2 linked regions of the Struthio camelus genome follow. The protein of the gene in region 1 purifies or fractionates together with the protein of each later gene. This does not show direct contact. Links are inferred from orthologs where the notes say so. Each region holds a gene or a part of one and is shown in the gene's direction. Other genes may lie near its edges.

Evidence for each region.
Region 2: the proteins of CDK13 (region 1) and CCNK purify together in Homo sapiens (affinity purification with mass spectrometry; 4 studies listed by BioGRID and IntAct, counting the BioPlex papers as one, with this or other methods). This does not show direct contact. The link is inferred for Struthio camelus from reciprocal best matches to the Homo sapiens genes CDK13 and CCNK.

The regions. Positions count from the first base shown.
Region 1 is NC_090943.1:58,323,099-58,330,509, forward strand, and holds the start of CDK13 (cyclin-dependent kinase 13), read left to right. Parts: upstream 1-4,206; 5' UTR 4,207-4,359; coding exon 4,360-5,594; intron 5,595-7,411. UniProt on the Homo sapiens protein: Cyclin-dependent kinase which displays CTD kinase activity and is required for RNA splicing.
Region 2 is NC_090946.1:69,598,490-69,605,824, forward strand, and holds the start of CCNK (cyclin-K), read left to right. Parts: upstream 1-4,248; 5' UTR 4,249-4,362; intron 4,363-4,952; exon of another isoform or gene 4,953-5,100; intron 5,101-5,337; 5' UTR 5,338-5,599; intron 5,600-7,335. UniProt on the Homo sapiens protein: Regulatory subunit of cyclin-dependent kinases that mediates activation of target kinases.

The DNA.
Region 1 (7,411 bases):
CAGGAGTGTTTTCATCTAAGGCTCTAGCCTAGGTAGAGGTCATATACTTACAAGTTAATAATAAGGACCCGCATAAAATAAAACCAGGAAAATTCACTTGGACATAGACTTCTGTGCACTGCTTTCCAGAGCTCTCTCAGGTTTGCCCAGTTACCCTGCCTTGATTGTATTGTGCTTTTTTTTTTTCTCCCCTCCAGTGCCTATGCTCACTTAAGCAAGTCAGAATAGTAGGTGAAAAATCACTTACCCTTGCAAAACTCTCCTGCGTAACATTAAGCATTACAAAAATTTCGCATGCGTTATTGCAGGAGACGTAATTGGTTTGACTGAATCTTGAACGCCTCGCGTGGCCGTTCTCTGCTCTCGAAGCTGATGCCAAGCGTAAGGCGGGCAAAGTGCAGGATAGCCCTACCCTGAGGGCTGGGTTAGGCCAGAGTGCCGTTCTGCTTCGCGGGGTAAAGAAAGAGCAACAAGCCAAGATTCGAGTTTAGGCTCTTCTAGCCTAAGGATTTAAGTAGTTTTCCAGCGTCTCAGCCAACCTCTGCGCTGTTGCAAGAGAGAGCCAAGCCCAACTCTGCTGATTGGAAAGCTTGGCTTGTAGGCTGACAGTTGCATGGATTTGCTTGCGCTTTGGGCTTCTCTGTATGTTTTCCAAATGCAAGCCAGCAGACAACGCGAACCTCCAAGAGGTAGCTTGTGCTACAGTTTGAGGTGCTGGCTGAGCCGTAGGTGACGGAAGTGTGCTGAAACAGGGCAAAAACAGGCTCTGATGAACCGAGTTGTTGCAGACGGCCGCTTTAACAGTGTTGCGGGTGGGGAAAGAAACAGAAAGGCTAAGTAAAATTGCTTTTAGAAGTGTGGGATTACTGTCTTTTTCCAGCAAAACATCGGACAGACAGATATCTAGCTGGGTTTCTAAAATGAGGATCTTTTGTCTCCCTGTTAAACGTGTGCTTGATCTCAACCCAAAGCTTTATTACTATGGAATTTCCCAAGCGTCTCAGCCAACAGTAGACAGCGAACTCTATTTTATTCTGTTCTTGGTTTCAACTGTCACACTAGAAAAGATGATTGCCCGTGTAGAAGTAGGCTTTCACCTTATAAAAATCCGTCTTTAGTTCAGTACTCACTTGTGAAACAGTTTAAATCATGATCATGATGAATGCACTGGATTTGCTTTGATGATTGGGCTCCTAGAGAACTAATAGGTAAAGCAGAAAGGGTGAAGGGCATCCCTGTGCCCTACTGTGACTAGGCCACTCTATAGGAGTACTGTAGATGAACAAAATGTACAAATCCCACGATCTTGCTGAAGGGAAAAAAAAAAAAGTCTTTATTTTACATGTGTAGGAGACTGTTTTCACCATAATTTGTTATTATGCAAATCCTTAATTTTGATAGGGAATTATCGGTGTCACTGTGTGGAACTAATGACATGCAGAAAAAGGAGAACTGCTTATATGAGTTTCTCTGCTGTATATAGACTTCTAAAGTAAAACAAAGACAATAGAGAGGACAATCCCAAATCTGCTTTATGCCTCTCGCTGTTAAAAGCAGTCAGACCCAGGAAATACCTGCTCTGAATTGCTTCAGTAATATGATGCACCAGCACTTAAGTCATTTAGACTTATGGCAGGTTTGCATAACAGTAGTGCACTGGTTTCTACGGGGAAAAATAACAATGGTTTATCACACACTTTGTCAGCAGCTAGCACAGGTTTTGACGTTCTCCCACCCTGCTCACAAGTTCAGATAAATATTGCAGTGATCTTCTTCCCCCAGCCCGCCCCAAAGCCTACATTCCTGCATTCCCTTTAAGCAGTTTCACACACTGTAAAAAAGGCATTTTTCTTTCCCTCCAGAAAAGGGAATGTGGTGGAACCGCACAGTCGCAAGAGCTATCGAAGAGAATATCCCAGGGAATCAACTCTAGTCGTGTGTTTGCAGCCTGGAAACATCTTTACGGGACATGGGCAGTTCCTACCAAAGCAGGCTTTCATACACAGACTAAGCATGATGAAAAAGTTGCACACACGACAACTTAAGCAAACTCAGTATCTCACAAGTATTTTATTAGGTCTCCTCTTATTGCTACTCTCAGCTGAACTGCTGAGAGAACAAAATACTCCAACACAAATTCACTTTCGACAAGCCTTTAGCAACTTTGCTGATCACAAACAGTAGCAATGACCAAGCAATTTGCTAACAGGAAAGAAACCTTTCTTTGCAGTATGTTTACCTCTTCTTGCATGCATCACTAAACGCTGTCTCTAACCTGCTGCCTTACCTAAGAGAAAAGATAATTTACTCCATCACCTGTAAGTTTTCTTCTGTTTGGTTGGGTTTTTTTTTTTTAATTTTCAGAGTAAACATCTGAGGGAAGGGCCTGAAAATCTGTAGTTGTTCTTTCCTCTCTCACTTCACCATTCTGTACGTTGTAGTACAATTTATGACTGAGCTGGCTAGTAGGAAATTTAGAGTTGCCTCTCACTACATGTCGGGGGAGTCTTTACATTTGTAGCTGAAATAAGCTTTATCATGCAATACAATTCACTCCCAAAGAGACTTAAATAGTTCTCCTCTACTGAACTTTGGTTTTTCTCAGGTGTTTTATGTCTTTCAGCGTAGAAACGCGCAGAAAACTCTTAAGATTGTTTTGACTTCTCTATGTAATACACTCCCCTGCAAACCTGCTATGCCATCCACAACAGTTGGCTCCAAGGGGTTTTGAAAGAGTGGTGACTCTTGGAGCTTCAGAGTGACACTTTTTTTAGTTGTTTATGTTGTTAATGGTTTTTTTTTTCTCCAACCATGAGGACTGCTTAGGATGGTAACGGTGCCAGTTGGGGAAGGTGGGAAAGCTTGAGCGATGTCATTTCCTCCGACACATTATTATAGTCTCTTTAGGCAACTTGTATTTTACCACGGCTTTGGCAGACCCTTTTCAGTCAAAAAAACGAAATGAAGAATAAAATCATGGTGCATATGACTTTAGTGGGGCAGGCGTGGGGCTGCAGACTGACTTGATGAGCATCATGAATTTTCAGCTGCACCCTTCAATCCTAGCCCTTTGCCCTCTGGGGTTGCTGTGCCTCTGTAAGGTGAGCAAGGCAAGCGGGAGCTCTCTTTTTTTTTTTGAAAGGAGGGGGCGGCTGTATCCCCACGGCCAGCGACGGGAGTGGGGGGCCCTCAGGCCGCCCTACAACGGCCGCCTGTGGGAGCCGGGTTTCCCCCCGCCGCTGACCGTAAGATGCAGCGGGCGCAGGGGTGCGGGGCAGGCCGCGGCCCGCGCCGCGTCGCCCATGGCAACGCCGCCACCGGAAGAGCCGCGGCGCCCTTTGACCTCAGCGCCAGGAACTGCCCCTTCCCCTCCTTCCCCCCCCCCCCACCGCGCCGCGGAGCGCACGCACCGCCATTACCGCGAGACGCGGCGCGAGGCGGGGAGGGGAAGCGGGGGGAGGGGCGGCGCGGCGCTCTCGCGAGACTTGGCCTTACCTCCCGGCTGCGGGAGCGCCGGCCCCGAGCGGGATTGGTGAAGGCGCGGCTGCCCCCCCCACCATTCGCCTCCCCCCCCCCACGCTTCGCCGCCGGCCCCCGCGCATGCGCGCCGCGCTGCCGGGCCGTGTCCCCGGTGTGTGTATGCGTGTGTCAGCCGCAGGCAGCGCGGAGGCCGCGCGAGCGCTCCCGGCGGCCGGTGACGCGGGACCGGGCCCCTGGGCCCCGCCGGGCAGGGTAAGGGGATTGGGGACGAGCGGAGGGCCCCGCGTCGCCTCGGACGCCCCGCCACCAGGCGGCCTGACACGGCCTGACCCCGCCGCCCGGCCAGGGCCAGGCTGTGGGAGGAGGAGAAGGAGGAGGAGGCGGCGGCGGCCCCGCGGCCCGCACCCGGCGGCCGCCCCCCCCCTCCCTTCCCCGCGCGGCGGCGGCGCCGCCCGGCGCACGACGAGGCAGCCGCGGCCCGGCATGGAGTGAGCAGGCCGCCGCCAGCAGACACTTCCGTATTGCGGGAGGCCACGCCAAGCTCCCGCCGTCCGGCCCCCTCGGCGCCGCGCCGCCGCCGCCGCCGCGTCCCCGGCCGGTCCCCGCCCGCCGCCCCGGCCCGAGCGCGACCTCCTTATGAGGCGGCGCGGCCCCATGTGAGGCGGCGCCGGGCGGGCGGGCGGGCTGCGAGGCGGGCCGGGCCGGGCCCCGGCGGAGCGAGCGAGGGGAGCGAGCGAGAGAGACCCCGCGGCCGGCGGGGGCCCGGTGTGTCTGCGCCGCGCCGTGTCTCCATGGCGCCGGCATCGCCCTGAAGGAGGCGGCGGCGGCGGCGGCGGATTCCCTAGGCCGCGTCCTCGTCCTCGGCCTTGAGTGATCTCGATGCCGAGCACCTCGGACGCGGCGGCTGGCGGGAGCGGGGGAAGCCGGGGCTGGGCGAGCGGCGGCGGCGGGAGCAGCAGCAGCTCGGCGGTGGAGGCGGCGGCCGACAAGAAGCGGCTGCATCACCGGAGACGGAAGCGCTTCGCGGCCCAGCCGCAGCCTCCCCCCCCGCCGCCGGCCCCTCACCCGCTGCTCTTCCCGCTCCTGCAGCCGCCCCTCCTGCAGCCCCCGCTCCTGCAGCCGCCGCTGCCGCCGCAGTCCCTGCTCTTCCTGGCGGCCACCGGCGCCTCCTCCTGCTGCGGGGACGGGGGGGAGCAGCGGAAGCGGCCGCGGGGCAAGCGGCGCTCGGGCTCCCGGCACAAGCGGCGGCGGGGCCGCGGGGGCGGCGGCGGCGGGACCCAGGAGGCGGAGAAGCGGCGCGGTAGCGGGGGGCTGAGCACCCTGGTGGAGGAGTACGACGACGTGAGCTCCCAGTCCGAAGGGCTGGTGGGCAGCGGCGCGGCCGGCACCGGCGGCGCGGGCAGCGGCGGGGGGAGCCCGGCCTCCTCCTCGGGCGGCGGTGGCGGCGGCGGGAGCCAGCGCCAGCGGGGCGAGTCGGAGAGGAGCAGCCGCTCCCGCCGGGAGCACCGCGGCAGCAGCGGCCGCTCCAAGGAGCGGCACCGCGAGCACCGCCGGCGCGGGGAGGAGAAGCCGCAGCAGGAGGGGGCGGCGGGCCGCGGCGCAGCCGAGGCCTCCTCGTCCTCCTCCAAGTCCCGCAGCCGCCACAACCACACCGGGGGCCAGGACCGGGAGGGACTCAAGAGCAGCAGTAGCGGCGGCGGCGGCAGCGACGGCCGCAGGAAAGGCTCCCTCGCCTCCCCCGGCAGCGGCAGGAAAGAGCGGGAGAGCAAAGCGCACCGGAGCCGGACTAAAGCGGCCAAGGAGCCGCCCTCGGCCTACAAGGACCCGCCGAAGGCCTACCGAGACGACAAGCCCGAGCCCAAGGCCTACCGGCGGCAGCGCTCCTCGCCCAGCCCCGGCCGGGACGACAGCCCGCCGCTGCACCGCTCCTCGCAGAGCCAGCGGAGCCGCAAGTCGCTCAGCCCCGTGGGCGGCCGCTCGCCTCTCAGCCCCTACAGCCGCCGCCGCTCCCCCAGCTACAGCCGGCACAGCTCCTATGAGCGCGGCGGGGATGTGTCGCCCAGCCCCTACAGCAGCTGGCGCCGGTCGCGGAGCCCCTACAGCCCTGTCATCCGGTGAGTGCGGGGCGCGGGAGCGGGCGGGGGGCTCGGCGGGGAGAGGAGGGGAGGGGGGAGCCCCAGGCCGGGCCAGAGGAGAGACTTGCAGGGAGCAACAAAAGCCCTCCCTCTTGCCCTCTCGCTGCCAGAGAGCTTGGGCGGGGGAAGGGGCCGGGACACATACAAAGGTCTTCCTGTCCTGCCTGGAGAGAAGGGGAGACACAAGGCTCTTCTGCAGCTATTTCTATCTCTTAGAGACTATGTAGCTTGAAGAAAATGCTTTTAAAAGCATTAAACAATAAGAGAACGTTTTCAGATGAGACCGCTGCCTTGAATGGAAAGCGACTCTAGGAGGGCAAGGTTTTTGAAGGACCGGTGTTGTTTTTTTTAATTTTTCTTTATAAAATGTGGAGATTCCCAGGTACGTTCTTACATATACTGTGGAAAAGGATGCGTGCTGAATACTTTTGTGCTTGGTTTAATCCCCTCCAATCTAAAGAGGAACCAAACTGAGAAGCAATTCACGTTACTAGTGTTTCTTGTTCTTCAGAGGTCTATAGACAGGTTTAGACTTTGTTTCGCCAGGAAAAGGAGCTAATGTCAAGTTTTGTTAAATTGCCTTTGTGCTTTACGCTACCTATAAAAACATAACAATCTCTTTTCTCGGTAAAGACTACTATAACATATACTGTGTCCATGTTGTATTTGACGTGCCCTTGCAAAGAGTTTTATTACTGTTAATGGGAACTCAGAATGTAAAGTTCAGCATTGCTGTGACTTGTTTAGGTTGTATAGAGAGAAAACAAATAACGTGGACTCTGTCTCTATAATCAGACACAAACAGTGGTGCAGAATTAAAGCACTTTATTTTAAACTTTAAATTCTCAGTGATTTTACTGCTTTTGGTCAATATGTGTTCTTGACGGGAGACTTTTATTTCCCCTATTGGAATCTTACTGTTGCCATGTTGTTTACAGGCTTACTTGTAAACTTAAAGTGAACTTAGATTTGAAATGTATAAGGTGCTTTGTCATTCCCCTGGCAAGAATTTGTTTAAAAGGTATTACCTGGTAGATTGTATGAGAGCTGTTGTCTGGTGTTTCTAATTTTGTATCAGTTACCATTTGGGGTGTCACGCAGCGTATCCAGTGAGAATGCTGAAGCTGTTTCTGTGTTTCACTGACGGTCAGTAAGGTCTGCTGTTCTGGGTGTGCATCAAACGCTGTTGAAAGAGAGAAGTATCAAAACTGCGTCCTACTTTGTTCAGAGGGATAGAACAAAGGTGCCTTTGCAAAAGACCGTGATTGTTTTGAGGTACGCTTGTATGGAATAATTTTGTAAACAATAAGGTGTTTCAAGCAGAAAATACTGTGAGTGCCCCGAAAAAGAGCGGTTTTTTGTTGCTGTTCCATGAGAGCCTGTTACAAGTAGCCAAGGATCCTTTTTTCAAGATGATTTGAATAGCAGAATAGCAGGAATGTTACGGGAATATTCTGACAAAATAGTCTGATTTCCAGGATGTTTTCATTAGATCCTTTTGTCTTGGAATAGGTATGATAACGACGACGAGCCAAACTGTGGCGTGTGAAGTTTGCACTCAAGAATAGCCATGTTAGTCAGACTGATGGTCCAGTTGTTCTGGGATCCTGCCTTGAACAGTGGCTAATAGTGCTGTAGTAGAAGGTGCAGGGGATTTTGTAGTGGACAGCTACAGAACAAAGTGCAGGAAGTGTTTTTTTTCCTGTCAGTAGTGGGGCTCTGATTTGAAGCTTTTTTTTTTTATTATTATTCTCTTTGTCATAAGTGTCTAAACCTTTCTTGAGTTGCAGATGTGT
Region 2 (7,335 bases), on another chromosome or scaffold:
AGTTATTCAAGGTCTTTCCCCACACCACCACCCACTCTTGAGTGCTTCACTGGGGCAGGAAACAGAGTGCACCTTGGTTACCATTTATTCCCCTGCAGCCCTTCCCCATAATTCATATCCTCTTAAATTATCATCAATATAGGCACGCTGAGTGAGATCCAGCACATGGGAAGTACTGGACCTATGATGCAGGTTCCTTGGAAGAGGAAACCCACAGAAGATATCCTGTTTCCACTCTGCTAAAATAACAGTACATGAAGACTTGGGCACTAGTGTTATAAAGCATTAAAAATTTTCAAAGGAAGATTCTGCTATTTCTATTAGCTGCTTATTAAGACATACATGCAATGTTTGCACTGAAAGAGTTTTAATTTTTTGGGGAGTTGCATATTTCCATCGCTATCATACCCTACAATGTATTTGCTCTCATGCCCTACATATTATATAACATATAATATACATATAAAAATGTATGTGTATATATAATTTATAAAATATATTTTTAAAAAAATCTAGAAATTGACCTACATGCAAAAGAACCAAAGTGCTAGCACAAGAGCCCCAGAGATGCACTCTCCTTTCAGGCGCAGGTTGCTGGCACTCTAGCAGAAACAACTGCAAAGCAGCTAATTATAGCTGGTACATTTACAGTCCATCTTCAGTTACAAAGACAGTTTTGGCCTACATTAACACATTGGCTGAAAGCCATGGTAGTTCAAGCACAGTCATTCAGTCACTTCCAGCAGAGGTCCTTCAGAAATATTGAGAAGACATCAGAGAGTAAAACATAACAGGAAGTAGATACTAATCTGTCATCCCATGCATTTGACAGGGTTTAACAGCCTTGGGCTCAAAAATCCTTCTGAAATGTAGAAGAATCAAATTAGAAGTTCCATTTTCTTTTTTATTAGGACATCAGCAGCTAGAGGCTCAGAAACTCACCTTCCACCTTAACAGTGTATCACCTAGACCTGGCCAACTTTGAGGCATCTAAACACCTGTTCCCACGTATTCACTGGAGATAAAACTGAACTCAAAGTCACTCACATCTCAACACGCTTCAAAGAAAGACAACATGGAATTTTTCCTGCATCTGACAGATACTCTGCTCTAACCTGCATAACAGATCCCAGAAATGAAAACAAGATTTTAGTGCTACCTCTTCAGCATTCCAAAGAGTAAGGTACAGAAAAGTTAGCAGCAGAACTGCTGAACAGCATAGGAAAAGGGGTAAAGGACAGACAGGAACAGAACAACTGGAATAGTCAGTTGGTGGAAGAGATGTAGGGAAGAGCCAATGTAGGACAGAGGAGCTAAAAACAGAAAAAGGGAGCAAAGAAGGTTATGGCAGAGGAAGGGCAAGAGCAAGAACGTAAAGCAATGTAAAAATACTCGAGCACTAAACTTGTTTTTAATTACTACAATATAAGCTTCTTCACAGACTAAAACAGACAACACTAATGGGGCACTTTTACGGTAATATCAAAAACTCCTGCTGTGCTTTATTTATAGATTTGACTGGTCCTTTCACATAGTTTACACTTCATTTTTGCCTAAGATATTTTTAAACCTCTGAAATCAGATCTAGGAAGCTGAAGTACCTCTAAACTTAGTTGACAAAGGACAGTCAGAACTAAGTTCAGAATCCCGTTTACTGTACCATCAGTAAACAGAAGCTGTACCATCATAGGTTCACTAATATTATCGCAAGTCTAAAGCATCTGGAAAAAAGGTAAGTTAGCACTACTGCTGTACGCGCTGCACGCAACTACTCCGAAAAGAGCAAACTGTATTAAACCATTTCGATTTTAGGTGAAAGAAAAAATATATCATAAAAATATTACTATGATAAACAGCCAAGCCATAGAGTAATATCAAAAATAGTTACTAAAATTAGCTCAATGTTTATTTGATCCACTTATAAATTCCACCTATTTTACCAAATTCAGCTAGTTATCGGGAAGCAACTTCCAAAGACATTGAGTCTTATAATTAGAATCAAAGAACACTGTCTTGACAATACTTTGACCTGGCATGCTCAAAACACTCTTAAAACTACTAGAAAAGTAGGAAATGCGATCACTAGAGAGTCCGACATTATTTCTTTCACTTCTCTTGAACCTGATTAAATACTAAAACCAGAACTGCCTCAAATTAAGTATAAACTTCTGGTAAGAAACTCTTATATGGTAAATAACACAAAATGCTAAAGGGGTAAAGAAGAGTGGCAATATATAAGGCATCCAAAGACATGCTTTTGTATGTCAAACACTCTCACTTACCAGCTTGCTAATCCTGAACTGATTAATACCTAAAAATATGAGTTTTTTTCCCCGTTGTTCCACTGAAGCTTACTGTCTTCAGCAGGAGGAATGCTTCTTACTGTAAACACTTCCCTGAAGATCAGCGAAAGAGAGTTTATTAGCTGCCACACAGGCAACAGTTCAGGCTCTCTCTCTCAACGATTAATAACCTTTCCACATCCCTTATGAACCAGCTCCTTAGACATCTCTTTGACCAGAAGAGTAAAAATATTTACTCTGTACGAAAAAAAAAAAGCTGAAAACAATAAATAGACAGGCTAAACTCCCACTACTTTGCCATCCTACTCTTGTCATTTCATTTTTTACTTGAGTTTAGCTCTTTCTGAAGACTCCCACATAGTTTTTTCCAAATTCCTTTCTTTAAAGTAAAAAGAATGAAAACTGATGCACTCTCTTTTTATTCATATATTTTTAAATATAGTCTTCACTTATAAAATATTAATCTCACTTTATAAATCTAAAACTCACAACTGAGAATCAAGCAAGTCACCCTGGTTCAGACATCAGGGCACAGACAGAACTTGCAAAACAGCCCAGGCCTCCAAAAAGACTTGTTGCTTAACACACCGGCATCATATGTCCTACCTTACTTTACCAAGTGCTGAACATTATGATGTTTTGGTAGCAAAAATACAGATCCCCTGAGATCTCTAATACCCTCAGACTGTCTCTTTCTTTTAAAGAATCACCACCAAAACACTCATCTTCTGCAAAATACCCAATACATCAGTTGCACTGTATGAGCAGTATCATTATGGTGAAATATTATACCTAAGTTCATTGCATTAATTACAATAAAAATGTCACGAAGACGTTCACTTTTCTATACAGAGGGACATAATGGGTTTTATTTTTAAAGTATGTACAATATCACAACTAGAAGCCTATTTAAAAATTTAGATCCAACTTCGGCATATAGCTCAGACCATCCCTAACTGGAAACAGCAATATACAGATTACAAATTATTTCAGGGCTTAAGCTTCTCCCTCCCTTGCCAAGACCCTAGATCTATCTGTACGGGTGCCATGACAAGGATGTATTTTTCAGATTTTATTTCAACACATACTTCAATCCAGCTAGCTAAACATAACTGAAACCTCCATTAAAGTGAAAGCTAGCATGCTTGAATCTTTACCATATTAAATAACCTAACTGAGCACAAATATCTGAAAATACCGTCCTCTTTTGGCCCATCATGCTATTCTCTCTAACAACTTCTACACCTGCTTACTATTTTATACATAAACAAGATATCAGACATGTAGAACGCTACAGCCTCTTACTCATGTACAGTAGTTTCAAAATGCTTTATTTTGAACTGCCACTCTAACGTAGAGGTTAGGAAATTGTTCAGAACTAGAGACACATGCAAAATACAGCCTCAACTTAAGCAACTCTATACAAGTCCTGCTCCGAGTAGGAAAGGAAGATGAGGAACAGTTTCAATACAAGTTCTGTTTCAGCAACTTCTGTAGTAATATGGAGAGGTTGCAAAACCCAGGCTGTTGCAGGAGTAATTCCCACTCAGATAAGCAGTTTGAATCATATTTGGCCTAAATGTAAAACGTTTATTCTAATTTTAAGTCACTTTTTTTCCTATTAGGTTTAGCCCCTTTATAAAAGCAAGTTCCAGATTGCGTGAGAAAAAGAAACAAAATAGAGTGCTCTTTCACTGCCATGGAAAGGCACTAAAGAATCGCATACCAGCAGAACTGTTACTGAGCCAGATCCTGAGAACTGGAGGTATGGGAGGCTTTGGAAAGCTAGAGAAGTAGGAGTAGCGAGTATTCAAAATGTGTCACATGTAAAAAAAGGAATTACATCATGGAGAAAGCAGTTTTAAGCCATTTGTTTAACTCCGCTTTCTTATCAACGCCTGGGGGATGGGACAAGGGAAACGAGCATTAAGAAGTGAATGCCACTGCCTCAACTCACTCTGAAATCACGCCGCTCGGGTTTAAACAAAACCCACCCACGTCGGAGCAGAAGAGCAAACAGGCAGTGGGCCGCGGAGAGCACGCCAATCTCCGCTGGCAAGTAAGTGGGAGAGAGAAACAGGATGACGAGTGGGAGCCGCGAGGCGGAGCGGCGTCACCCCGCTCCCCGCGGCGGGCGGCACGGAGGCTGCCTCGCCCCCGACGGGCGGGCCGGCCGGCCGGCCGGTGCTGCCCCGCGAGCGAGGGGGGGGCGCGGCGCGTGGGCGCGCGGCGGCTAACGGCCGGCTAACGGCCGCCCGCGAGGGCGCGAGTGGGCGCCCAGCCTGCCCGCCACGGCGAGGCGGGGGCTGCCACGGAGCCGAGCGCGCGGGGCAGGGGGGAAACGCCGCGGGGAGAGCGCCTGGGGACAGCGCCGTGACGGGAGCGAAGGGGGCGGCGAGGCCTGGGCCGGCGCTGCGCGCCCCGCGGCGGGGAGGAGGGTGTCCGGAAAGAGTTGCGCGTCCCACAGGAAGGGGAAGCGGCGGGGCGGGCGGCGGGGCGAGGTTCCTCCGGGGGCCGAGGGAAGGCGCCGCTCCCCGCCGGGAGGGGGTCCGGGCCGGGGGCAACGGGATTGGGGCGGGGGGGAGTTGGTGGCCAGCGCTGGCCTCCCACTCAGCGGGCGGGGGGGCGCCGGGCGGGGCCCCGCCTTACCTCCCGCCCGGCGGCGGCTGTGCCTCGCCCGCTGCGAGCGGCGCCGAAGCCGAGCTCCTCTCACCGGACACCGCTGCCGGGGGCGGGCGGCGGCGGCCGAGCTAGCCCGAGCCCCGCACTCCCAGCGCCCGGCCCCGCCCGCGGCCCCGCCCCGCCCTCCGCCGCCGCCATTGGCCCAGCCGGGCCGACAAGGAAGACCCCGCCCCCTCCGAGGCCCGTAGCGGCCAATCCCCAGCGACCACCCCTTCGCCTTCGCTACCGGTCTTGGAAAAGGGCATGGCTGCTTCCCTCCCATTGGCTGCAGTTTAATCCGTGCCTCCGGCTTCTTACTGGCTGGCTCGGCTTGCAATCTTCTCGCTCCTGCTTTCTGATTGGTCATTCTAAGGCTACGGGAGCGCGTCGCGTGCCTCCTCCTCGAGCTTCGCAGACGCTGAAGGAGACGGGATTGGCTGCGGGGGCTGCTGGCTCTCATTGGCCGTTAGACGGCAGCGGCTCGGCGCTTGCGCGCTATGCCCTCGTGACGTCGGCGTGATGACGCAGAGAGCGGCCTGGCCTGGTTCCCAAGATGGCGGCGCGCAGGGAGCGGAGGCCGCGCTGTCGTTAGTGGCTCTGCGCTCCTGTGGGGTTTCCTCTCCTGTGCGTGGCCTGTGAGTGCGTTACGGGGCGCGGGGGGGGGGGCACCGGGGCGGCCCGCCTTCTCCGCGCCGTGGCCTGGGGGGCCTGGCTGGGGAGGAAGAGAAAGCAACGGGGAGGCTGCAGTGTCTGGCCGGGACAGGGAGCGAGCGCCCGCCCGGGCTCCGGAGGCCTCGTCTGCGGCGGGAGGAGCACCGGGGGGGCCGGGAGGAGCTGCCCCCACCCGGCCTGGGGGCTGCCGAGGCTGGGCGCTGTCAACTAGTTTGTTCAGAGAAGAAGAACAGAACAAAAAAAAAACTGAATCTTCTCTCTAAAGTCTTTTCACCTTTACGAGGTGGTAAAGAAAAATCTCAGGCCCCGTGTTATTTTGCTTTTGATTATTGTGGTCTTAATTGGAGAGTTTGAGGTGATTGCTTGGAATTCGCCTTTAGGGGTTTTAATATTTTGCCTGTTTGTTTTTTACAGATTTTCATTTGGGGATGGTTTTAGTGCTCATAAAAGCAGCTCTCTCGTTGCTTTTCAGAAAGGGAGTTTTAATGTTAGTTGAGCTTTAAACTACTTAGAACTTTAAGCATCAAAACGAACTTTGAAGAAAATGGTCTCCAAAACTTGCGGAAATAATACTTGATAATGGCAATGGGAGCGCGTGGTGATGCCACTGAACTGTTTTGCTGACTCTAGAAATGCTTTCAAGTAGCTATTCACTTATTTGTGACAGAGGTTGGGTTGATCTGTCACTAGTAAGACAGTGGAGGGTCTCCATATGTGAATACGGAGCAAAGGTGGTTTCCTTTGTTCTGAAAAAGAGAAACTTTCTGAAGGTAGAGAAAGGTATTTATTGTAGGCATAGGTATTCTGACTGTTCATGTAGTTTTCTTTTACTTTTGCGAGGGAAACATTTGGAAAATTAAGCTTAGCTTAATTTTAACAGCTTTACATTTGAGTCTTTCTTGGATTGTTATGCTTAGAGCAGTAAATTATATCGTCTGTTAATTAACATTCCCTACAGGAACCTTTGCAGGTGACTACAGTAGTTTGTGAGTAGTATCTCTAGTTTATTGAATTGCAGTAAAATAGTCTTATCCCTGTTTTCTAGTCTGAAAGAGATAAAGGTGCGAAGACAGTCTTCATTCTCTCTTTTAAGTGAGACATACGTGAACATCGGTCATAACCTAAATGCCAACAAGTTATCTGTGGAGCTGTATGCTGTCAATATAGATTTGTGATGTACAAGTCAGCACAGGAAAATAACATACTAATTGAGTGTAATCAGTTGCCTCATTTTGGAGGTGGTTTTAGATGGCACAGTACCATACAGACTCACATTACTGGTCTTGATCTTTATTTTTTTTCCTTTTTTTTCTTTAAATAACATACACACACAATTTACAAAGCTTTATGCCGAATTATTGCCACCATCTTACCACCCAGATATATCCAAGAGATCAACTATGTGTTTAAATTGCCATTCAGCCGGACCTAATGGATGGGTTTCTTAGTTATTGAACAATGGTCTGAATTAAAATTTTATTTTTTTACCACTTCAAATCTTGCTGTTACCATCATTGAATTGTTTTTCCTTATTTTGTGGACAAAGTAAGTGAAATTTGTACTGCTAAAAATAAGTGTTTTTAATAGTGTACTTTTGAATTTCTTTATTAAAGGGTTACTATCAAAGATGACCTTTGTTCTTTGAATTGAATTCCCAATATATGGGGGAGATAAGGGAGAGGTTAAGTATGACTTGTCT